Linked DNA regions of Zea mays. Each later gene encodes a partner of the first gene's protein in a complex. Links are inferred from orthologs where the notes say so. Each region holds a gene or a part of one and is shown in the gene's direction. Other genes may lie near its edges. The genes, in order: NAD(P)H-quinone oxidoreductase subunit O, chloroplastic; NAD(P)H-quinone oxidoreductase subunit M, chloroplastic; NAD(P)H-quinone oxidoreductase subunit N, chloroplastic; Photosynthetic NDH subunit of subcomplex B 5, chloroplastic-like; photosynthetic NDH subunit of lumenal location 1, chloroplastic; ndhJ; Photosynthetic NDH subunit of lumenal location 4, chloroplastic.

What was found.
Region 2: NAD(P)H-quinone oxidoreductase subunit O, chloroplastic (region 1) and NAD(P)H-quinone oxidoreductase subunit M, chloroplastic share a complex: the UniProt entries of both Arabidopsis thaliana proteins name them as parts of the chloroplast NDH complex. The link is inferred for Zea mays from reciprocal best matches to the Arabidopsis thaliana genes NdhO and NdhM.
Region 3: NAD(P)H-quinone oxidoreductase subunit O, chloroplastic (region 1) and NAD(P)H-quinone oxidoreductase subunit N, chloroplastic share a complex: the UniProt entries of both Arabidopsis thaliana proteins name them as parts of the chloroplast NDH complex. The link is inferred for Zea mays from reciprocal best matches to the Arabidopsis thaliana genes NdhO and NdhN.
Region 4: NAD(P)H-quinone oxidoreductase subunit O, chloroplastic (region 1) and Photosynthetic NDH subunit of subcomplex B 5, chloroplastic-like share a complex: the UniProt entries of both Arabidopsis thaliana proteins name them as parts of the chloroplast NDH complex. The link is inferred for Zea mays from reciprocal best matches to the Arabidopsis thaliana genes NdhO and PnsB5.
Region 5: NAD(P)H-quinone oxidoreductase subunit O, chloroplastic (region 1) and photosynthetic NDH subunit of lumenal location 1, chloroplastic share a complex: the UniProt entries of both Arabidopsis thaliana proteins name them as parts of the chloroplast NDH complex. The link is inferred for Zea mays from reciprocal best matches to the Arabidopsis thaliana genes NdhO and PnsL1.
Region 6: the proteins of NAD(P)H-quinone oxidoreductase subunit O, chloroplastic (region 1) and ndhJ are in contact, whole or in part, in a cryo-EM structure (PDB 7WFG), measured with the Arabidopsis thaliana proteins. The link is inferred for Zea mays from reciprocal best matches to the Arabidopsis thaliana genes NdhO and ndhJ. Residues at the interface, in NP_565093.1 of Arabidopsis thaliana: Ser91, Ile92, Leu95, Asp107, Tyr108, Ile109, Tyr127, Val130, Ile135, Pro136, Thr137, Pro139, Ala140, Trp141, Leu142; in NP_051062.1 of Arabidopsis thaliana: Ala60, Pro61, Ile138, Gly139, Arg143, Lys144, Asp145, Tyr146, Ile147, Ala148, Pro149, Asn150, Ile154, Gln155.
Region 7: NAD(P)H-quinone oxidoreductase subunit O, chloroplastic (region 1) and Photosynthetic NDH subunit of lumenal location 4, chloroplastic share a complex: the UniProt entries of both Arabidopsis thaliana proteins name them as parts of the chloroplast NDH complex. The link is inferred for Zea mays from reciprocal best matches to the Arabidopsis thaliana genes NdhO and PnsL4.

The regions. Positions count from the first base shown.
Region 1 is NC_050103.1:163,552,443-163,555,383, reverse strand, and holds NAD(P)H-quinone oxidoreductase subunit O, chloroplastic, read left to right. Parts: upstream 1-1,229; 5' UTR 1,230-1,381; coding exon 1,382-1,580; intron 1,581-1,692; coding exon 1,693-1,856; intron 1,857-1,969; coding exon 1,970-2,029; intron 2,030-2,133; coding exon 2,134-2,163; 3' UTR 2,164-2,441; downstream 2,442-2,941. Other genes in the region: Phosphatidylserine decarboxylase proenzyme 2, read right to left, coding at 258-337, 531-716. UniProt on the Arabidopsis thaliana protein: NDH shuttles electrons from NAD(P)H:plastoquinone, via FMN and iron-sulfur (Fe-S) centers, to quinones in the photosynthetic chain and possibly in a chloroplast respiratory chain.
Region 2 is NC_050097.1:23,630,826-23,633,939, reverse strand, and holds NAD(P)H-quinone oxidoreductase subunit M, chloroplastic, read left to right. Parts: upstream 1-1,427; 5' UTR 1,428-1,595; coding exon 1,596-2,051; intron 2,052-2,260; coding exon 2,261-2,437; 3' UTR 2,438-2,614; downstream 2,615-3,114. Other genes in the region: uncharacterized protein, read left to right, coding at 95-282, 506-626, 813-884; uncharacterized LOC100502247, read right to left, coding at 2,840-2,917. UniProt on the Arabidopsis thaliana protein: NDH shuttles electrons from NAD(P)H:plastoquinone, via FMN and iron-sulfur (Fe-S) centers, to quinones in the photosynthetic chain and possibly in a chloroplast respiratory chain.
Region 3 is NC_050098.1:176,087,654-176,091,037, forward strand, and holds NAD(P)H-quinone oxidoreductase subunit N, chloroplastic, read left to right. Parts: upstream 1-1,453; 5' UTR 1,454-1,520; coding exon 1,521-1,874; intron 1,875-2,244; coding exon 2,245-2,361; intron 2,362-2,473; coding exon 2,474-2,559; intron 2,560-2,664; coding exon 2,665-2,734; 3' UTR 2,735-2,884; downstream 2,885-3,384. UniProt on the Arabidopsis thaliana protein: NDH shuttles electrons from NAD(P)H:plastoquinone, via FMN and iron-sulfur (Fe-S) centers, to quinones in the photosynthetic chain and possibly in a chloroplast respiratory chain.
Region 4 is NC_050098.1:158,250,019-158,253,420, reverse strand, and holds Photosynthetic NDH subunit of subcomplex B 5, chloroplastic-like, read left to right. Parts: upstream 1-1,332; 5' UTR 1,333-1,375; coding exon 1,376-1,645; intron 1,646-1,862; coding exon 1,863-1,917; intron 1,918-2,077; coding exon 2,078-2,146; intron 2,147-2,236; coding exon 2,237-2,295; intron 2,296-2,511; coding exon 2,512-2,748; 3' UTR 2,749-2,902; downstream 2,903-3,402. Other genes in the region: putative transmembrane protein kinase family protein, read right to left, coding at 3,366-3,402. UniProt on the Arabidopsis thaliana protein: NDH shuttles electrons from NAD(P)H:plastoquinone, via FMN and iron-sulfur (Fe-S) centers, to quinones in the photosynthetic chain and possibly in a chloroplast respiratory chain.
Region 5 is NC_050096.1:42,029,523-42,033,417, forward strand, and holds photosynthetic NDH subunit of lumenal location 1, chloroplastic, read left to right. Parts: upstream 1-1,372; 5' UTR 1,373-1,556; coding exon 1,557-1,598; intron 1,599-1,677; coding exon 1,678-1,798; intron 1,799-1,894; coding exon 1,895-1,981; intron 1,982-2,104; coding exon 2,105-2,178; intron 2,179-2,266; coding exon 2,267-2,389; intron 2,390-2,582; coding exon 2,583-2,654; intron 2,655-2,791; coding exon 2,792-2,888; intron 2,889-2,988; coding exon 2,989-3,098; 3' UTR 3,099-3,395; downstream 3,396-3,895. Other genes in the region: ABC transporter B family member 20, read right to left, coding at 3,558-3,895. UniProt on the Arabidopsis thaliana protein: NDH shuttles electrons from NAD(P)H:plastoquinone, via FMN and iron-sulfur (Fe-S) centers, to quinones in the photosynthetic chain and possibly in a chloroplast respiratory chain.
Region 6 is NC_001666.2:50,035-52,241, reverse strand, and holds ndhJ (NADH dehydrogenase subunit J), read left to right. Parts: upstream 1-1,227; coding exon 1,228-1,707; downstream 1,708-2,207. Other genes in the region: ndhC (NADH dehydrogenase subunit 3), read left to right, coding at 25-387; ndhK (NADH dehydrogenase subunit K), read left to right, coding at 441-1,124. UniProt on the Arabidopsis thaliana protein: NDH shuttles electrons from NAD(P)H:plastoquinone, via FMN and iron-sulfur (Fe-S) centers, to quinones in the photosynthetic chain and possibly in a chloroplast respiratory chain.
Region 7 is NC_050100.1:216,381,265-216,384,727, forward strand, and holds Photosynthetic NDH subunit of lumenal location 4, chloroplastic, read left to right. Parts: upstream 1-1,296; 5' UTR 1,297-1,315; coding exon 1,316-1,705; intron 1,706-1,901; coding exon 1,902-1,994; intron 1,995-2,096; coding exon 2,097-2,157; intron 2,158-2,264; coding exon 2,265-2,333; intron 2,334-2,455; coding exon 2,456-2,523; 3' UTR 2,524-2,568; intron 2,569-2,646; exon of another isoform or gene 2,647-2,688; 3' UTR 2,689-2,963; downstream 2,964-3,463. UniProt on the Arabidopsis thaliana protein: NDH shuttles electrons from NAD(P)H:plastoquinone, via FMN and iron-sulfur (Fe-S) centers, to quinones in the photosynthetic chain and possibly in a chloroplast respiratory chain.

The DNA.
Region 1 (2,941 bases):
GTACAGGCAAAGGCGATTCACGATATGGTGGCTCATAACTGGCTGAGGTACTTATCAGCAATCCCGCGTGCGGCGTGGAAGTTAAAATTTACTAGATCGGAGGGCACAGCCAGAGGGACATTTGAGAGTTACCAAGTCGAGGGACACACAGCACGCAGACATGAGAGCGAGACAGGGATATTCTTGCACAGAGGAATGGAAATGGAACAGACATAGGACGAGTATTCGAGCAGTAAATAAAAGCAAGGGCGACGCACTTGTCGGACGTCTCGGTGCGGTACGTGCGGTCGCCGAGAGAGAGGCACGCGAAGAACTTGTCCTTGAACTGCATATCCGCCTGCGCCCGGAAACCGAACAGGAGGATCAACCATGGCGAGTCAAAGTCAGAGTCAGAGAGGCAGAGACAGTGATGCGATACGAATCGAAACCCACGGATTCCGCCTCGGCTGGCCGCGTCGAAGCGGGGAGCGAGACTCGGTGCTAAGGAACATGCGCGTAGCAGCGGAGTTCGCAGCGCGCGGCCCACGTACCTTGGCTATCCGGACGCGTGCGATGCCGGCGAACTCGTCGGCGGCGAGGGCCTTGGAGGAGACCGAGTCGTCGCCGGCGCCGCGGCGCAGGCGGTTGCGCAGGCGGCGGCGGAACCGCGCGAAGCGCGAGGGCAGCGCCTCGCCGGCGCCGGCGCAGGCAGTGGGCCGCGACGCCGAGTGGCCCATCCGGACAGGTTGGTGGGGACTGGGGACGAAGACGGACGGGACGGCGCGGCGCGGCGCGGCGCGCCTTTTGCGGGACGGTGGTGGGCGCGGCGTCAGACAGACAGACAGACGCCTAGGCAGATGGTGGTTGGAAATGGGCCAAAAGTAGAGTCCCTTTTGAATCCAGGCCAACCGCCTGCCTGCCTGCCTGCCCGCGCACGCCGGTTCGTCGCCCGGCCGCGGGCCCCATCGCCACTTTGATAACTCGGTGGACCCACACGTCAGAGGGGTTTTGGAAGGTGTGTAAGGATGGAAGTCAAACCTGTGTTGATGGCGCTGGTGGGACCGGACAAGGAAGATCCACCTGCGTGCGCTGCGCACTGGGGGGGCGCCTGCCTGGCTCTTGGATCCACCCATTTCCCATCGTCGTCTTCTTTTTCTGAATGGGAATCTCCACTTCTTGGTGGTGGCAGGTCATGACAGCAGCCAAAGTAGATGATGATTCCCCCCCCCCCCTCTCTCTCTCTTGCGCTTGCAATGGGAAGCAAATGGCCAACCAATAGCAAAAAGGCAGCCGTGTATCGATCGCCTTATCCGGGTCCTGTGGCACTGGCACACCGCGCGTCCGGATTTGGCTGAGTAGCTGACTAGCTGAGCGAGCAATCCATCCCTTCGCCCGCCGCACCATGGAAGCCCTCGCCTCGGCGCCTCGGGCGCTCTTCCCGCGCGCGTGCCCAGTGGCGACGCCGGCCGGCCCAGCCCGGCGCCGCTCCGCCGCTCCTCACATCTGCAGGGCCTCCGCGGCGGCCGGGGAGGAGACGACGCCGCCGCCGCCGCCGGCGGCCGCTCCCAAGAAGATCCTCAAGAAGAAGCCCGTCTACTCGAGTAAGACGACGACAAGACCCCCCCCCCCCCCCCCCCCACCCCCCCCTACTTCTCCCTCTAGCTCTCGCGCGCGCGGCCATGCATGCATGATGAAACTGGCTGAGCTTTGCAGTGAAGAAAGGGCAGATTGTGCGCGTGGACAAGGAGAAGTACCTGAACAGCATCAATTATCTGTCAGTGGGACACCCGCCCTTCTACAAGGGGCTGGACTACATATACCAAGACCGCGGCGAGGTCTTGGATATCAGGAACTTCGAAACAGGAGAATACGCCCTGGTAATGAAAACTACTTCCATCCGCGCATGCTGTGTTCAGAGTTTCGTCATGCTTTCTGCCTCCACCATACATGTTCAGAGTTTCAGACCAACGCGCGCGTGCATGCATTTCAGATCGCTTGGGTGGGGATCCCGACGCCACCGGCATGGCTACCAACCTACATGCTCATCAAGGTAGCTGATTCATCCCCAGTTGGATCAATCTGTACGTCATGCACCACTCGTCTCACCTCGCTCTCGCTCTCTGTCTCTGTGGCATGTGATTTGTTGCATTGCAGTCGGACAAGCTCGACTACGAGAGGATATGATGGCCGGCCGGCGGCCTCGCAGGGCACCGTAGCGCCGCCGCCGAATTCATGCTTCATTTCGCATCAGGAGTCGGCCAAGCAGGACACACCTCTTGTTGTTGACTTGTTGTAGGTATATACGTACATGCCAGTATTGCCAGAACAGTCGACAGAGGCAATCTGAGACCTCAGCTGCTGGAATAATCAGGAAGTAGATCGAGAGCGACGTACGATGACGAGATTCATAATTGCTGCTGCACATCACTTCTTTATGTTATTTAAACTCACATTTCATAATTAATACTAATAATATATTGTCTCCGTTCTTGAATATTTGTCTCGTCGATAGTTTATTTTCGAATAAAAAACGACAAAATAAAAAAATGATAGTGTACCGATTATGAAGCAGCCACAAACAAAGGTTTATAATATACCTTTCCAGCATTTATATTATGGGTCAAAGTGTATCATCACGCACACGCCTCTGTCTACACTCCGCAGCTAGCCACTGCTGAAATAAACAATGTACAATTAGTCAGGGAGGGAAACAAGGTTGAGCCATCTTTAGATAATCTCTAAGACCGTGTCAACCAACTCCCCTATCTCATCTCATATCACATCCCTTATTTCAGACTTTACTCTATAAACAATGATAAATATTGTTATTTACAGTATCATGTCCTCTATTTTAGGGGATCCACTGAAGACAGTCTAAGTTAGTGTTTAGAATGGCTCGATGCCAAGAAACGACTTTGTTCGAAAAAAATAGGGAGTTGGATGGTTCAAGATTTGATCATAT
Region 2 (3,114 bases), on another chromosome or scaffold:
CTCTTGGCCTGGACGAGAAGTGTCGTTGTTTCACCGATCAAACCTTGTTTTCCGACAAAACACGGCTGCGTTGACTCTCCGCCGCAAAACCTCTATGGATTTCCACGAGAAGGATGCGCGCAGCTATGACGCGCATGGCCCTGCTCCCGCCCTCCCCCTCGTCCGCCTGAACCACGTCTCGTTCCAGTGCGAGTCCGTGGAAGCATCGGTCGGCTTCTACCAGCGCGTGCTTGGCTTCGAGCTCGTCAAACGCCCGGCGTCCCTCGACTTCGGAGGAGCATGGTGAGCAGCCATTTCGCACTACATATATACCACTGCCTAGCTAGTGCCTGTTTCTTGTCCATCGATTTATTATTATTATTATTATTATTATTATTATTATTATTATTATTATTATTATTATTATTATTATTATTATTATTATTATTATTATTATTATTATTATTATTATTATTATTATTATTATTTTCGCCAAGGTGAGGTCAACTCGTTGCGTGCTTTCCAGGATGCACAGGTACGGCATGGGGATATATCTACTGCAGCGCGGCTCGGATTCGTCGCCCAACGCTCCGGCAGCTGCAAGACCGCCGGCGATCAACCCCAAGGGCAACCACATTTCCTTTCAGGTGACCACCAGAGCGCTCTCGCAGAATTAAGAAACTGGATAGGCAGCCAAATTTAGTCCAATCCAAGCAGAGAGGATCCTTGCTCTCGCGCAGAGTTGACCTGCTTAGTTAGTACGAGTACTTAGTAGTAGCAGTAACCAGTAAGCACCCGCTGATCGGGTGTGCTCGTTTGGCAATGGCGTGCAGTGCACGGACATGGGGCTCATGAAGACGAGGCTGGGTGACATGGAGCTGGAGTTCGTGGCGGCGCGGGTGTGAGACGGCGAGACGGTGGTGGAGCAGCTCTTCTTCCGCGACCCAGACGGCAATGTGGTCGAGGTCTGCGACTGCGAGAAGCTCCCCGTGATACCCCTCGCAGATGCAGGCAGCACCGGCCTTCTTCCAAATACGCTGCTGCTGCCGGTGGAAACGAACTTGCATGGCTAGTTCGTGGTGCTTGCTCATTGGTTGCTTAGCACGATTATTTGATTCGTGTGATTAGATTTGTGAGCTGTAACAATACTGTAATAACAGGCAGTTCTGCACGCTATTGTACATATGTTGCAAGTGTCCGTACGTAGTGTAATGTGTATGTACAGGTTCGGAGATTGCCGGGTTAGGCGTCTTCCAAGCTGAATTTACGTAGTGTTGTGCGTAATGCTTGTGCAATGGCGATGAAAGCTGGTGCTCTTCAGTACTCTGTGCGAGACTGACGACAAACCGCGTACCCCGAAATCGCAAGGCAACCGCCGCACCAGCGTTCAGAGCCCAATGAGTCTGGAAGCCTGCTTGGCCCAATGGTGCGCTGTGCAAAAGTGCAAACCGAAACCGAAGTCAGTGGCAGAAACGGCCCTTATCCACACACACAAAAAAGTACGCGACACAAGCCACGCTCTCCGCTTGTGGCTAAGCTGCTGCACGCGCGGAACGACAAAAATCCAGCACTAGCCAAAGCACAGGCGAAGAAGCAGGCGAGAGGCCACCACAAACATGGCGACCACGGCGTTTCTACCCCCGGCCAAGCTGCCGCTGCAGGGGCGTCGGTTCGCTAGCCCCAAAACGGCGGGACGTATCAGCGTCAGGGTCCCTCCGGCGCGAGCGCAGCAAGAGCAGCAGGTGAAGGAGGAGGAGGCCGAGGTGGCGAGCGTGCCGCCGCCACAGGACGCGGAGAAGCAGGCGAGGAAGGGGGACGCGCAGTCCCTGCCGCGGCAGCCTTTGGCGGAGAGCAAGAACATGAGCCGCGAGTACGGCGGGCAGTGGCTGAGCAGCACCACGCGGCACGTCCGCATCTACGCTGCGTACATCGACCCGGTGACCAACGCGTTCGACCAGACGCAGATGGACAAGCTGACGCTCATGCTCGACCCCCAGGACGAGTTCGCCTGGACCGACGAGGCCTGCCAGATGGTCTTCAACGAGTTCCAGGACCTCGTCGATCACTACGAGGTAACCTCTGTAGTTGCTCCCACTCCAACAGCTCCGATAGTAGATAAAAAAAATTTGAATTGAATCTCTTGTTGTCTGAAATTCGTACGGTCATTTCCCCCCTTTTCATCTACTTTAGAGCCACTCCTGCCAAAAAAATAAAACATACGGTCTTGGCAAAAGAAGTGATCGGTAAGAGGATAGCTGAGCTCGTTTCTGCTTTGAAACAGGGGGCTGAGCTGTCGGAGTACACACTTCGGTTGATCGGGTCAGACCTTGAGCACTACATCCGCAAACTGCTGTACGACGGGGTGATCAAGTACAACATGAGGTCCAGAGTCCTCAATTTCAGCATGGGCAAGCCTCGCATCAAGTTCAACAGCAACCAGATACCAGAAAAGATATAGAATGTACTTATCCAACGCCCTTAAAAGAATGGTTTCTCTCCATTCGATTACCGAGCAAGATGTATACTCTGCAGTCCCAGATACGATCCAGAGCATTCCAGAATTCATATTACGCAGATGCAAAGCCATACACCGATTCTGTTGGCAGAATTTTGTCACCCCTGCACAGTAATAACCACATAACGAGAGTCTGGGCAAAATAAGGGTTTGCTCGAGTTTAGATACCCCTTCTGTTTCTAGGGCACTCGAATTGGGTTACAGTACACAATACCATAGTTTCTGCTAATAGATACGTATCACCGAATACCACATGAGGTCAGAGAGTTGCACAGAGACGACCGCGCTAACTTACCAAACGACTTTCTGAACTGGATGGAGTAATGGCTAGTATGGGTAAACCCTCTACAAACATTCCATGACAACTCGGTACTTTTTAAATTCATCGCTCCATGGTCTGAATTGGTCTTCTAGCTCAATGTTCTACAGAAGCATAAAGATACAGTAAGGGCTAGTTTGGGAACCTCAATTTTCTAAGGGATTTCTATTTTTCCATGGGAAAATGAACTAATTTCCCTTGGAAAAATAGAAATCCCTTAGGAAATTGGGTTCCCAAACTAGCCCTAAATAATTAAAATTAGGGAACACCACCATGCTATGCTGCTGCTGAGTACTTCGTC
Region 3 (3,384 bases), on another chromosome or scaffold:
TTCATCTAATATACATCTTTTCTAACTGTAGATTGGATTTTTGTCGGTGATTTTGGTGCCGCACTGCAGATTAAGAGAGAAATTTCGGTATGCATGTTATTATGAAACATTTCTAGTATTATTACTTATCCTCCATATTGTCATCATAAAACTAGTTTTATCTTGTGAGTTGTGATCTAATCTAGTGATTTAGCTTTTATAATGTTGCTCCACCTATAATTTTATCCTGCGTTCGCCACTGGTCTCCACGACCGTCCTGTCATGCGCGCCATCTTTTTCCTCTTATGTTGTCACCACCGCGAACTTCCTCTATAGCCTTGCCTAGTGGCGGATAAGGAACAAACTAAAAGAGGATTGTTTTTCTAGTGACCAGTGTCCGATGCAACAGAAGCTAGTCATTTAGAACATAAACACGGTCTTCAAAATATAGCTTTGACCAATATTTTTGTAAATACAAATAAACTCTTAATATATTTATACTTTTGTAAAAGTGATTTTTAAGATATATATATATGTATATATATATTAGATTTCAAAACTATTATTTATAGTCAAAGTTTTATATGTTTCACTCAAACCTTGTCTAAAACGACATCTTTTTCAGGACCGGAGGGAGTACACAATTGGTGAATGGAAAAAATATCGTTTGAATTTTTTCTCATTAATATGGCTGGAAAAAAATAGATGATGAGATATAGATGATAAAATTTAGAGGTTGCTGCTGCTGAAGGCATGAAAAATATACATGATAGAATCTTTTAAATGGTGATGTGAAAGACTAGAAATATTATCTTAGTGGATAAAATTTTGGAACCCTGCTGGGACAGACTAAGCACGACCATCCCAACAAATGATGCACAACATCCATCTTTCTTTAAAAAAAGCAAAAAGAGCGCGTGACCTACTTTACTAACTGTTTAATTTAAAAGGTTTTTTAAGCTGGTGTCCTCAAATCGTTATATGCCTAAATATTTATTTAAGTTCTTTATATTTTAATTTTTCAAATAACTTCTGAAGTCAACGTGATCCACACCGAAATTTTACTCCCTCCGTTCTAAAACAAATGCATTTACGTGGGTTTCCAGTTGATGACATTCTTTTGGGACAGTTTAGACTTTGGAAACACAAATCACCTTCAGAATTGGCGGGTCTGAATAAACTAAAGTTTCTAAAATAGGCCTTAACAGGATTAATGATCTATGTAACTTTTAATGCATTTTAATATTTTGTTTGGATCTAAAGAAAATTCACGTATCCGTACTGTGTGCGATCTCTGAGTAGAATCTGAATACAGATTGGTAAGTGGTAACACATGTACTCTGCTCTTTCAGTCTTGGGCAGTTCGGCTGACAGACCAACCTACGGCCTGGATTGGAGACTTATCCGCGACCCCTCCTCCCCACTTCAGCTTCAGCGCAAGCCATCTTCCCGCCACAGGCTCAAAAGCAATCAAGCGACTCCTCCCACAGTCCCACTTCCACTCCCACCCACCCACACGCACGGCCGCAGGCAGCAGCACCATGTGGTCGGCAGCAACGGCGGCGGCGGCGCGCGCGGTGTCCGTGTCCCCAGTCCCGGCGCCTTCGCTCCTCAGCGGCCGGCGCGGCGGGTCGCGGGGCGGCCGGGGGTCGGTGTCGGTGCGCAGCACGGTGTGGGACTTCGTGGGCGGCGACCTGGTGCGGCCGGACCTGGGCAAGTGGCTGGACGACGTGGAGAAGCACAAGGCGCTGGCCATCTACCCGCCGCACGAGGGCGGCTACGAGGGCCGCTACCTGAACCGCCTCCGTTACCAGGGCTACTACTTCCTCGACCTCTCCGCGCGGGGGCTCGGCGACCCGGAGACCACGCTCACCAAGGTCCACCCCGTCTGCCCGGTACGTAGCACGCCTTTAGTTTCTTGGGAACGTATCTCGTGCTCACGCGACGTCCGTGCTCATGTGAGCACTTTAAATCGTGAGTGTTCCTTCTTAATCTAACGATCATGCTGCTGGCCAGGAACACTCATCGTTAAGGTGAGAGGACTTAAGTGAATAAAAAGCACTAATCGTTGGATTAAGAAAGAACACTCACGATTTAAAGTGCTCACATGAGCACGGACATCACGTGAGCACGACATACGTTCCCTTCTCTCTTTCTTTGCTTGTTGTTGCTGCTGTGGCTGTGCCGTGTCCTTTCGTCGCGTGCGGGAACCGAGCGGTCGATCGACGAACTGACTCGATTGGAGTGGCGGTGCGGTGACTGCAGCCTAGCCTCGGCAGGCAGCCGGTGGCGCGGTGGTACTTCCCGCCGGAGGTGGACTACAGGCTCAGCCTGCTGCACCCGGACGCCAAAGGCCTCGTCGTCTGGATCATCGAAGCCAAGGTGAGGTGCCTGCTTACATCTACATGCACGCGCCTCCATCGATCGGCACACCACTGACGAGTGCTCTGTTCCTGAACCTCTTCTTCGGGCCTCTCGTCTGGTCTACGTGCAGGTTCTGTCCAAGGCTGAGCTGCAGTTCCTGGCCATGCTCCCGGACATCCGCCCCAAAGTCAGGGTGATCGCAGAATGCGGCAACTGGTACATGCGCTTCCTTCTACCTCCCTCCATGTCTAAATTTCCCACACGGGACCACTTGTGGCTAAGGCCTGATTACGTACGTGTGGCCCTGTTGCACGCGTGCAGGAGAAGCTTTGTTTGGAAGCCACTGAAGCAGATCGCAGGCCTCGAGCCGGACCCGGACGCGGAGGAATGATCAAGCAAGCAGGTCTAGCTAGTTGTCTACCAGACTGGCTACTGCTACTGCTACACTCTCCAATTGCTTCTGGGACATCTCTCCCTGCCATTCCTGCAGCTTTGCACTGAATGAGAGAGGCAATTAATAAAGATATACATACATTTTTTTGGCACGAGTGTCAGAAGAGAAAGAATGCGAACCATGTACAGATTTCCATACATGTGAATAGTTCACGGCCGCGACGCGTTTAGGATTCTCAGAACCCAGGCGCACAGCCGAACACGAGAGCGCAGGCACACGAGATCACTGTCCTCGTCTCCATCGCGTTGTGGATCGGCGACATCATTGCCACCTTGGTCAATGAGCTTGCATTCTTCCTTCACCATTGATGCTCAGGTAAGCTGAATTAAAGAGCGCGCTGAAAAGGGTCCACATTTCGATATTCTTGACGTGTGAGTTGGACACGAAAGAATGGATCGCTTCCGCACGAGTAGAGCGAGGAAGTGCTTTCCCCTCACACAGAAGCAACGAACATAAGATGAATGAATTAACCCAAAAAAAAAACGCATATCAGAAACTAGAACACCACATGTGGATGGGAGGTAAAGAAGTTTCTTCGAGGAGCCTTCTTCAGATTCTTCCCCTATCTTCTAATTTTCTATCCAAAA
Region 4 (3,402 bases), on another chromosome or scaffold:
TTGGTAGTGTTAGGCTGTCTCCAACAAGGGGCGCTAAAGCGTTCGGTATGCTATATTTAGCGTTTCTCGGTGTCCGCTATCGCTCCAGCAAGAACCGGCAAATGGTCCGCTAAAATATAGCGGCAGCTCGACGACCGGTAAATGTGGAGTGTTGTTGTTCATCCGCTATCCATCCGCACAGAGTTGTTGTCTGGTTCTTCTCGTCTTCGCCAACAGCATGCCACAGCACGACAGCTCTGCTACTCCACCCGTTGAGTACCACGACAGCTCTGCTACGTTCGGTATGAGAGATTATGCACGAAATCATCTCTGTATTTTCAGTGCAGCAACGTGATTTCATTTTATTTGTGTCTTGTTGCTTTATTTTCACCTTCCAGACTGAAGTTGAGTCACATTGACTCTCCGCCAACTGGTAAGGACAGAGGCAGGGCTTCGAGGCGTTCACGAGTAGAGTACTGGTGATGTCAGAGCTTTACTCATCGTTCGATTACAGTAAAAAAAAATGCATGGGCAGTTTATTGATGCAGTGATGCTAGCCTTTTTTTCTCTTACTATGAAGATGGGGGACTATGTTGTCTTGATACCAAAAGAACTGGGAGCAATTGCATTTTTTTTGTATAATACTAATTTAAGAAACTGGTTTGTTGATTACTAGGCTTAAGGATCTGATCTGTAACAATGTCATGTGCGGGTCTTCTTGTGACATCGCAATCTCGAGGGCACCCCAAGGCCGCCAAATGTTCTAGTGTCCATTGATGCTTGGTAAGAATTCAGTTAGAGCTTTACATGCAAATTAGTACTGTATATTTATTTGTAAACATAGCACCATTGTACTACTAATTAACTGTGTATATCTAAACCCTAAACCCTAGGTTGATGAAGACGTTCTAGCAACCAACCATAGGTCGCTATAAAAAAATCGTTGTGTAGTGTATGAGAGAATTTAGAAAGAACCACTCCATATACATGGAAAAATTTAAAGGACAGGGTTACAGATAATCCTACAAAGAGTGAGTTCTCACTTGTTTTGTTGGTGTCCGTTGACCAAAGCACATGCGACAGTTTCTTACAAATATAGCGCACAGAATCACGATTTTTTTTGGCGGGGGGAGGGGTTACTGTGGGACGTCCGTAGGTGTTCAGTTCCACAGAATCGTACCGAGTTTTTATGAGCTGATTATTTCCAGAAACGAAAAAAGGGACAGGAAAAGACAGCGGAAAAATCCTGGACGGTAGGTGTCCAACTCCAGCGCACCATTATCCGCTTGCTTTTTTGTCTCTTGGCCGCAACGTGAAGTGCAGCAGCAGCCAGCAGCGGGGGCTGGAGCACTCACCAGTCACCACTCAGCAGCGATCGCAGCACCGCGGCGAGATAATGAGCAGCCTGTCCTCCGGCATCTCTGCCTCGCCATCTGCAGCGCCCAGCACCGCTCGGCGCCGCCATGACGCAGCGCCGCAGCAGCTGAGGGTGAAGGCGGCGGCGCGGCCACAGCTGCTGCACGCCGGCCGCCGGCGTTCGAGTGTCGGGAGGAGGCCGGGCGGCGGCGCGGTGGTGGTGAGGGCCGGGCCTGGGCCGCTGTCGGAGATCGAGCCGGACCTGGAGGAGGACGCCATCGACGTGTACCGCACCAACGGCATCAGCCCGGTCCGTCGTCGTCGTCCCTCGTTTCCTTCCTTTTCTTCTCTTCTCTTCTCGGTTGTCGTTCCGCGCTTAGTTAGTTAGACTAGGAACACGCAGGAAAGCAGTGAACCTTGACGTAGGTTGTGCTATGAACGAGAGCTCTGAAGAACGGAGTACGTTTCGTTCGTTCGTTCGTGGATGACACTGGAGAGGATCTGTCTTGTCTTGTCTTGTCTTGCAGGAGGACTTCGAGTACGGGAAGTATGACGGACACCACACCTATTTCGAAGGCCAAGGTATTACTATCCTCCCAGAAAAAAATAAGAACTCCATTGTTCATGATATGATATCCTTCATTGCAAAAAGAAAAAGAAATAATAGTCCACTGATTGTTTTGTGCTGTGGTGAAACAAAAACCTGCAAACAACCGCAACACCCCCCGCTTTTCTTCCCAAGACAAGAAGGGCTTCTGGGAGGATGTCTCCGAGTGGTACCAAGAAGCTGAGCCTCCTCAGGGCTTTCAAGGTACTACCACTACTGTGTAGCTCTTTCAGATCTTTATGCTTCTGCCTTGCTCATTTGTTGCACTGCATCAATGGCGGCGATCTCTTGCAGCACTCATCTCCTGGGCATTTCCTCCTGCGATCATCCTCGGCATGGCTTTCAATGTGCCGGTAAGGATCCAGCACTTCCTCCTCCCAGTACCTAGTCCCCTGTTTGGAACACGAAGTTTCCTGGTCGGAAGTGAATTGTGCTTTCTGTCGGGAAAGTGAATTGTTTCCTGTGAAATTCCTGCGCTCCAAGCATTTGTGCCCCAAAAAAAAAAAAAAAAAAAACTCGTCACCTGCATCTACTGATCGGATCGGAGACGCGTCTGCTTGTGTCGCCAGGGGGAGTACCTGTACATCGGGGCGGCCGTCTTCATCGTGGTGTTCTGCGTCATCGAGATGGGCAAGCCCGACAAGCCGCACAACTTCGAGCCGGAGATCTACATGATGGAGAGGTCGGCCCGCGACAAGCTCATCGCCGACTACAACTCCATGGACATCTGGGACTTCAACGAGAAGTACGGCGAGCTCTGGGACTTCACCGTCAACACCAGGGACGACATCGTCAAGTCGACCTAGATGCATTGCGTACACCGCTCGCTGCCCTTCAGATTGTTGCCTCACAGCAAAAAAAACCCTGTGAAAGGAAGCTGTAGCTGCTAGGAAAATCTCTTGAATAAAAAGGAAAGCCATCCTTCCTGTAAGACTGGAGAGCCTGAAAATCTGTTCTATCCTCGTGCCATATAATACACGACATGTTCTGCAGACTGTTGCTTCAACTTTCTGCATGAATTGCCTTTGTTTTCATGTTTTCTCCAATACTTTGAAGGGAAGAGAAAAAAAAACACATGCAAGACTGATGCGCTGAACAATCAAGAGCCGCTGGTTTGCCACCACCCACCCATTCTTATTATTATTCAACAAAAGGAAAATGTCATTAATTCCCCTAAAAACATGTGCAGAAAAGGGAGAATTAGGAAGGAACCATCAGGGTAACAAAACTGGGGAGAAAAAAAGGGTAAGCCTCGCAGCTGTTTCCTCTCTTTTTTTTTTACACTTGGGATGCAGCTGGCTCGCTATGAAGACGGGCTCTTCTTTTTTTTCCCGAATTCCGAAAGAGAACAAGGCTGGTCTACTGCCCTGAGGAGGAGAGAACTAGCTTTTCTTCTAGACTACACATCCCACTGATGTTTGTTTCACCTGGATGTTCTGAAGAGCTGACTGCCTAGAGTC
Region 5 (3,895 bases), on another chromosome or scaffold:
CGTTCTGCTGGCAGGAGCGCAGAGTTCTGGAGGAGCAACTTGGCTGGGCCAGACTGGAGCGGCAAAAGATCCTCGCTTTGTCTGCGGAGGCTGACGATGCAATCTGGCATCTGGCCACGCTCGCACGGAGGAGGATGCAAGAAAGGGACGAGGCCAGGAACCAGGCGAGGATGCTGCTCGCGGACCTCCAGGCAAGGAACGCCCGGATGAAGGCGGCGGTTCCCGGAGCATCGTGCTCCAGAGTCGCGCGGCCTGACGCGTTCGCCGCCACCGGCTACGAGCACATCCAGGCCCAGGCCCAGGCCCAGGCCCAGGCACTCGCTCCTGCCGCGTTCGGGCCGCGGGGGCAGCGTGCCCGTGCGGGAACTGGCTACTACTGCGTTGCGTCGTCCAGCGGCTTCGGCCACAGGAGCATCGACTCGTCTCTGGACACCTGCGCCGTTCAGCCGTCGCTGCTTGGCTTCGCTTCCTCGAGCTCGAGCCAGGAGCATTTCGACCCTGACATGTTCTTGGTGGACGTCGCAGAATCGCCGCAGGATGTCGTTCCGGTTCCGGCCACCGCAGACTCAAGCCAGGGGAGAAGCTCCGGCTCCGGCTCCGGCACTTATGGTCATAGTTTGGCGAGCAAAAGGCCTTGCAGTGAAAGGAAGTAATAAATCATCAGCTCAAGCTGCAGCACGTCCTGCCACGGGCCATGGCCATGCTGCCTAAATCCTAGGCCGGTGCCATGTTAGTGCTTGCTCGGTAAAACTTATAAGATTATTGATGTGTTGTGGATTTGAATGGCGCCTAGTGTCTTTTACTGTGTTTGGTTTAAGGTCAACATGGGATGAGGCGCCCCTCGATTTTTTAGCATCACGCCGCCACCAAAAACTACTCTGGTGTTTACCTCGTTCGTACGTGACTCTCATTCAAACACTATTGAAACTATTTAATTAACTATCAATTAACTAAGGAAAAATCAACCAATTAGTTAAGAAAGGAAACTAACAAACAACTATCAATTAGTTAAAAAAGGGAACTAATTGATCAACTATCAATTAGCTAAGAAAAAACTAATAAATCAACTAAGGAAAAAAACAAATAAACCTAGCTGCATTATGCAACAGGCTTACTAGCATTGAATAATTGTGGCCGTTGTTGTATATCGCTTATCATGGTGTCATGAAATTATGTAACCTGGAAATTTTGTTTTTTTGGCATAAAAATCACTGTATTCAGAACAGTTCGTCTTGGGTCATCAACGACCTACCCACCAGAAGGGCTGTTTGCCTGTTGAGAGGGACGCCCATTTTTGTCAGCCAGTGCTCTGTCCAAGACAAAGAAGCAAGAGTGCTGAAATGAGAGGATAATGAGCATGCTGACTTGGCTGCCTTGGCTTCCACCCACACACTCGATAGGGGAAAAGCGAGCCCTTCCACGGTTCCACCACCCACTCGATAGTGGAAAAGTGAGCTCGAGCGTGTCCAGCAGCTATGGATAACTGACGATGGGGGTAACAAGCTTCACAGAACTCTCCCTCGAGCTCAGCGCTACCCTGAACAACTGAAGCCGAAATGGCGAGCCTGCAGAACCTGGTCTGCTCCGTATCCAAACAAGTACGTGCTCAAGCCCCTTCCTCACTGTTTTTTTCTGGAATTCATTTACTTTCCCTGCAGTTCTGAGGAGTAATAACAGCTTGAACCCGTTGCTTGTTTCCAGCTGGCTGTGCCAAATTGCGCGGCGACTACCAAACTGAACAGGGCTCCTCCCTCAGCTGTGGCGGCGAGCTCGATCCAAGGATCTTTGGACGACACCAGTAACCCCCCCTTTTGTTGTTGTTGTTGTTTTTTTTCCGTTCATGCATCTAGTGGTCGACAGAATCCTGGTTCATAACATCTCTCCGCTTGTATAGAGGTCACGAAGAGACGGCTAGCTTTGCTTGGTGCTGGAGCGTTAGCCACTGGCCTACTGAGGACAAGCTCTGCTGCGTTCGCTGAAGGTAACGATCATCCCTATATAGATGGCCTGGCATTGTATCTATCAGGATCGGACTAGGACGGTGTCCTCGAGCAGCGTTTTTTTTGCGTTTCTTACCTGTTTGACACTGATCGGAGCTGTTCAGAGGTGCCGAAGAATTACAAGTCGTACGTGGACGCGAAAGACGGGTACTCGTACCTTTATCCAGCTGAATGGAGGGTAGGTTGGCGCCATGCGATCGATTCTTGAACAGTTAAGAACTGTAGGGTGATTTTCATGGTGCCTTCGTTCCCTTGTCCCTGGATAGGATTTCGACTTCTTGGGTCATGATTCTGCGTTCAAAGACCGCAACCTGGCCCTTCAGTGTGTTCGTGTGGGGTTCATTCCTACCGAGAAAACAGACATCCGCGACCTAGGACCGATGGATGAGGTGGGGGTTTTGTTTCCTTCTTTCGACTATGTATTCTTCTTCTTTTTTATGGAAAAACTATGTGTTCTTCACTTTGATTAGGCACAAAAGATAAAACACATACTCTCTCCTCCGTTTAAATTATATACGTTTTAGCTCTGATAATCACTTTTGCTGATGTGATGAATATGTTTTTTTTTCCACATTACACCAGGCCATCTTCAACCTGGTAAACAACGTCTACGCTGCCCCGAACCAAATACCGTCGATCTACGACATGCAAGAGGTCTGTCATCTGTTCATCGCTTTATGCATGCAATTATCATTTGTTTGGAGTTGCCAAATCTAGTTGGATAACTCTGAGCAAAAAAATAAAAAAAATGGTGCTAGTGAAATAAGCGGCCTATCCTACTATTTTTGCAGCGCACCGTGGACGGCAAGAACTACTGGACGTTTGAGTACGATCTGGAGGCTCCGGGCTACGGCGTTTCTGCGTTTGCGACGGTCGCCATTGGAAACGGTATGATACCTATGAACGGGAAACGTTCATGTGTTTCGCTTCGCGTTGAAATAGAGAGAGATGAAACTCTGTTTGTTTGTTTGTTTTTTGCTCTAACTAGGTCGGTACTACACGCTGATCGTGACCGCGAACGAGCGCCGGTGGAGCAGGCTGCGGAACAGGCTCAAAGTCGTCGCGGACTCCTTCAAGATCTCGGACCTGACGGCGTGATCGCTTGCTTCTGTGACGGCCTCATGAGCATGGTGCGGCAACTTGTTTAGCGAAAGATGGGGGGGGGGGGGGGGGGGGGGGGGGGGGGAATGTGGTTGCATTGCTGTCGGTTCGTGGCTCCCAAAATTACACGCTCCGTGAACATGTCGGTGCAACACTAATATTACAGAGGCGAGAGACACCACAAGCACGAGCCTCTGAAAGAATGTTTCAGCTCATATATTACAACAATTACAATGCCCTCCAAACTTGCTAACTATTTCCAGAATTACTTGGATCTGCAAGCTATTTTTTTTATTTTTTTGTCAAGAAGACCAGGTCGGCTTACTCGGAACAGCAACAGGGCGGCAACTCCCAGCATTTTTCATGTGCCGAAAAGGGCCCCTGACTGAGTGGCCGCACAAGGAAACCTGATCATCCCCTAGGATAATTTACACCTAAACAAACTCAAAAGAATAATTACATTAGCCGATGCTGGCGAAGGCCCTTGCCAAAATGGGGTTGCATCAATCTAACATATAGACCGTTCTGGTCCATCAGAGAGTCATGTGTGCCCTGCTCAACTATCCTACCGCCATTCAAGACGACGATGTTATCAACATGCTTCATCATTGCCGCCCTGTGCGCAATGAGAATCGTTGTCTTGTTACCCATGACCAGAGTGTCTAGAGCTTCTTGCACCACTCTACTCGATTCAGACTCGATCGCAGAGCTGGCCTCGTCCAACAGCAATATAGGTGCGTTCTTCAAAACCACCCTAGCGATGGCAATCCGTTGCTTCTGTCCAGGTGTCAGAT
Region 6 (2,207 bases), on another chromosome or scaffold:
TTCCACATTAATGGGAGTACATTTATGTTTCTGCTTCACGAATATGATATTTTTTGGACATTTCTAATAATAGCAAGCCTTATTCCTATTTTGGTATTTTGGATTTCAGGACTTTTAGCCCCGGTTAGTGAAGGACCAGAGAAGCTTTCTAGTTATGAATCGGGTATAGAACCCATGGGGGGGGCTTGGTTACAATTCCGAATACGCTATTACATGTTTGCGCTAGTTTTTGTTGTTTTTGATGTGGAAACAGTCTTTCTCTACCCTTGGGCAATGAGTTTCGACGTATTGGGTGTATCCGTTTTTATCGAAGCTTTCATTTTTGTGCTTATCCTAGTTGTTGGTTTAGTTTATGCATGGCGAAAAGGAGCCTTGGAATGGTCTTAACTGAATATTCAGAAAAAAAAAAAAAAGAAGGAAAAGATTCCATTGGGACAATTATGAGTTTGATTGAGTTTCCGTTACTCGACCAAACAAGTTCCAATTCCGTTATTTCAACTACACCAAACGATCTTTCAAATTGGTCAAGACTCTCAAGTTTATGGCCCCTTCTATATGGTACCAGTTGTTGTTTCATTGAATTTGCTTCATTAATAGGCTCACGATTCGACTTTGATCGTTATGGATTGGTACCCAGATCAAGTCCTAGACAAGCGGACCTAATTTTAACAGCTGGTACGGTAACAATGAAAATGGCTCCATCTTTAGTGCGATTATATGAGCAAATGCCTGAACCGAAATACGTCATTGCTATGGGAGCCTGTACTATTACAGGGGGCATGTTCAGTACAGATTCCTATAGTACTGTTCGAGGAGTTGATAAGTTAATTCCTGTGGACGTCTACCTGCCGGGTTGCCCGCCTAAACCAGAGGCTGTTATAGATGCCCTAACAAAACTTCGTAAGAAGATAGCGCGAGAAATAATTGAGGATCGAACTCTATGTCAAAGTCAAAAGAAAAATAGATCTTTTACTACCCGTCACAAACTTTATGTTCGGCGCAGTACTCACACTGGAACTTACGAACAAGAATTGCTCTATCAATCACCATCTACTTTAGATATATCTTCTGAAACTTTTTTCAAATCCAAAAGTTCAGTATCTTCCTACAAATTAGTGAATTAGGAGGGGTTCTTTTGTGCAGAAAAAGAAAGAAAAGAGCAGTACAATCTTTCAAACTTGCATTTGAAATGTGAAATATTTATACAAAGGGGGAGAGATCAAGACAATGCAGCAGGGTTGGTTATCTAATTGGCTAGTTAAACATGACGTGGTTCATAGGTCTTTGGGCTTCGATCATCGAGGAGTAGAGACTTTACAAATAAAAGCGGGGGATTGGGATTCCATTGCTGTCATTTTATATGTATATGGTTACAATTATTTACGTTCCCAATGTGCTTATGACGTAGCACCCGGTGGATCTTTAGCTAGCGTGTATCATCTTACGAGAATACAGTATGGTATAGATAACCCAGAAGAGGTATGCATAAAAGTCTTTGCCCAAAAGGATAATCCTAGAATCCCGTCCGTTTTCTGGGTTTGGAGAAGTGCCGATTTTCAAGAACGCGAATCTTATGATATGGTGGGAATTTCTTATGATAATCATCCACGTCTTAAACGTATCTTAATGCCTGAAAGTTGGATAGGCTGGCCCTTACGTAAGGACTATATAACCCCCAATTTCTATGAAATACAAGATGCTCATTGAGTGATAATAAATTCATGTTCACTTATACAACACAATTCCAGATTTTATTCAAGTCAAGGAATATTTTGACGTTCTGTTCCTAGACGAAACGAAATACTTAGAATATAATATTCTAATTAATTCCTATTATACAAAAGGTCCAGATAGACTGAACAAAAAGGGCTTCATTTCTATTTTCCAATTTGGAAAATCACATATTTGTTTCCTTCGTATGAACAGAAAAATACAATGACTCAAAGAAGTTCCTACCACGAACTTTGTACCGCGCATATTACTTAGAACAACTGGGAAAGTAGGATAAGCAAGAATAAAAAAAAATATATTCTTCGGAATAGCGGTATACAAAATTAATAAGAAATGCAAAATGAAGAAAAGGGCACCTAATCTCACCTCTTTCTATACCATAAAGAACCAGAGATTTAAACCCTTTTTTTTAAAAGAAAAAGAAGTGTGTAGAGATTTATCTACTTACTCTAGAGATTTATCTACTTACTCTAGAC
Region 7 (3,463 bases), on another chromosome or scaffold:
AACAGGCGACTAGGCAGCCGACTACTATACATGCAGTTGAAAAAAAACATGGGAGAGAAGGTACTCCGAAATTTTCACTTCTACGGTGCCGAGATTAAAAGATGATTGCACCTGACAGCTGAAAGCTGCACCCCCAAAAAAATTGGTGTAGATTTTTCCCATCAGCTGTTATCTTAACCAGGTCCTATATTGTACTTTTGGTTGGCATTAGGCAAAGTGGTTCACTTTTTGTATTGCGTTGTGTCGTTATATCATCAAAACGTGAGGAAAAAAAAAAGATGCTGGTGGCCGCAGCTAGCGACGTAAATTATAGGATGGTGACGAGTGTGTGTATCCACTGTCAAATCCTAAATATCTTTCTTGAGCCTTATAATTTATCTAAAAAAAGTTTTTTAATACCCAAACTTGTTTGTTCTTCTAAATAGTTACTAGACTTTTGGCAATCCATATTATCTTCCTCTTTGGAACAATAATAGATGCACTAAGATCGTGTCTAGCAGTTACTCACATGGTTATCCAAAACACTGTTATGCACAGTAGATTGCACTATCTGTGGAGTGAAATTTGAATACGGAGATGAAGATGGATAAGCTATTAGAGATATTCTAATAAATTTTGTCTTTATACCATAGTATACTTTGCAAGTAAATAATAAGAATCAAATTTAATAGAAGGTGTACCTTTATTCTTGTTCTTGCAGTACTGCTATAAGTACATAACTTGCTTGCATTAGTACATAACTTGCTTGCATTTTGACCGGAACCCATCATTATCCTTCACAAAAGTAGTTTTGCGACTTATAAAGGTCACCTCGATATTCTTATGGTGTAAACTAATCCCGTTTTATTGAGAGAAAACCTTTGACCATCAAGCATTTTAGGCCTAGTTTAGATACTCTTGGAAGAGGGGGTTGAAGTGCATTGAAATGTATCCAATCAAAACAGACAACACTTGCCATGTCATCGATCACGACCTGCCACGTCAAACGGGGTCGCATATCAGCGTATTTGTCCGCGGCAGGGAGATTTACACGGTCATACGGGTTGGTTTTAGAAACAAAATTACTCTGATGTTAATTTTTAGAAATTGATTTAGAAAATGATTAAAATAAGAAAACTACGTGGGCTGTAGACTGTCCCGAAACTTGCGGCTCGGCCCGGTAAAACCACGGGCCTGCTGCTGCAGTGGCCGGCTGAAACATCCAGAGCCCATGCTGCCTCCGCGCGACGAATTTCGGGGCGTCATTATAAAGACCCGAGCCTGCGCGCCTTGCAGCCACAGTCTGGGGATAATAATCCACACTCCACAAGCAGCCATGGCGCCACCCATCACGTCCCTGTCGTCTCTGATGGCGTCCAGCCCAATCCCGACGCCGCCGCCGCCGCTCCCGAAGACCAGCGGCAGAGCGCTCTCCGTCGCGCCCTGCGGCTCCGCGTCGTCCTCGTCGCCGTCCACTTCCTCGACTCCTCATCCGGTGGCGGCGTCGGCGTCGGCGGGCAGGAGGGGGCTGCTGGCGCTGGGCGCCGGGTTCCTGGCCTCGGCCGCGCTGCTGTCCCCGGCGGGCGACGCCGGCGCCACGCGCATCGAGTACTACGCGACGGTCGGGGACAAGATGTGCGACCTGAGCCTCGTCAAGTCCGGCCTCGCGTACTGCGACGTCGAGGTCGGCACCGGCGTCCAGCCCCCGCGCGGCGAGCTCATCAATGTCAGTACCGAGACCACCGTCTCTTCTTTCCTGCATGCCTTGCGCCTTCCTCTGACTTAACCTACTCTGTAATAGTACAGTGGTCCATTTCCCTTCTGCACGAGTAACTCAGCAACATATGCCGCCATCCTGTTCTGCGTTCTGTGTGCTGCTTGCTTCGGATCCTAATTATATTCGTCCTCTCGATGGTCATCAGGTGCACTACACCGCGAGATTTCCCGACGGTACGCTGTTCGACAGCAGCTACAAGCGCGGGAGGCCACTGACGATGCGCATAGGCGCAGGCAAGGTGTGCATGTATAAGCATCCATTGTCGCTCACTGAAAACGACGTTCAGTTTTCATGCCAGTAAAAAATGATGGTCTGTTTCTTTCGCGTTCTCCGCGTGCAGATCCTCCGAGGGCTTGAACAGGGGATCAGTGGCGGCGGCGGTGTGCCGCCCATGCTTGTTGGTACGGACAGGAACTTGAGCAGTTTTTAGCTGTGCATTAAATATAGAGGCTTTGCTAATTTGGCTTGCTGTTCCATGACTGATGACTCCGTTGCAAACCTGCCTCAGGTGGAAAGCGCAAGCTGATGATACCTGCGTCACTGGCGTACGGGCCTGAACCGGCAGGCTGCTTCTCAGGTCGATTTTCAGAACTGCGCTAAATGACTTCGTACACCATAGATAAGCAAACTGCTCTCGCTCTAGAATTGTCAAGGAGACTGCTTCTCTAGTTTTTTCTTTTGTTTTTCTTTTTTTGACAGGAGACTGCAACATCCCCGGAAACTCCACACTTCTATATGACCTTTTCCTCGTCGGGATCTACAAGTGAGCCCTCGATGACAGGGAATGTTCAGAACCTAAGAGCAGAGACAAGGTCTGTCTGATATGTGTGCCGTGCACAGCGTTATTCTGAACTCGCCTGGTTTTCTGTGACTCACGTCCTTCTTTCCAGAGTAACCGATCGTTTTCGTGTGTCACACATGGAGGGTTTCAGGAGGAATTCTTGGCGGTGAAAGCACCTGCAGAGGCAGAGCCACTTGCAGAAGCTTCTGTACTCCAGAGAGCTACCTGGATTGAATAAAATGATGATATATATAAACCATCCTTGTTACGTAATAACGCCATTGTGGAACTTTGTAAAGACCAATCATATTGTTGACTATATAGCAGTTTGATACAGCCAAAGCGAGCAAGTTATCGGAGGTGTATGTCACATGCGCCACCAGCTTTGCTTGCACAGCCGATACGGAATCGTGAATTTGTTTGTGTCAGTCAGACTGTCAGCGTGACTGGCGAATGGCGTCAAACCCTTCAGCATTCGATCAATCATGCCGACTAAACACTCACGATTCGGATGTGCAGAGAGGTCTCGCGCTCGTGCCTGACACATGTGTGCCCGTAGTAGCTTGGAGCAAAAATTCTCATCGACCGGTTCAGACGGTGCCCGCCTCTGCTGTCTGCCTGAATTGGGGAGGCTGCTGAAGCAACAAAGGCGAAGCTAAACCACTGGCACCATTTCCATGGGTTGTGAAGACGTAGATTTGCAGAAGCGAAAGCGTAAGATAGGACCAAGCCGCATTAGCCGTTGGAGCGCCACATCGGGATCGGGAAACTATTTTGCTTGTGAGAGAGTATCACTGTCACATCACTGGGATGGTTGGGCTTGGGTTATAGGTACTAAAAAAAGTTCCAGTGCAATTTGACCTCACCTCTTTGGCTCTATGTCATTGGTGGTTCCTGGGAGCGCCGAGAGCTGTTTCCTCGGGCCT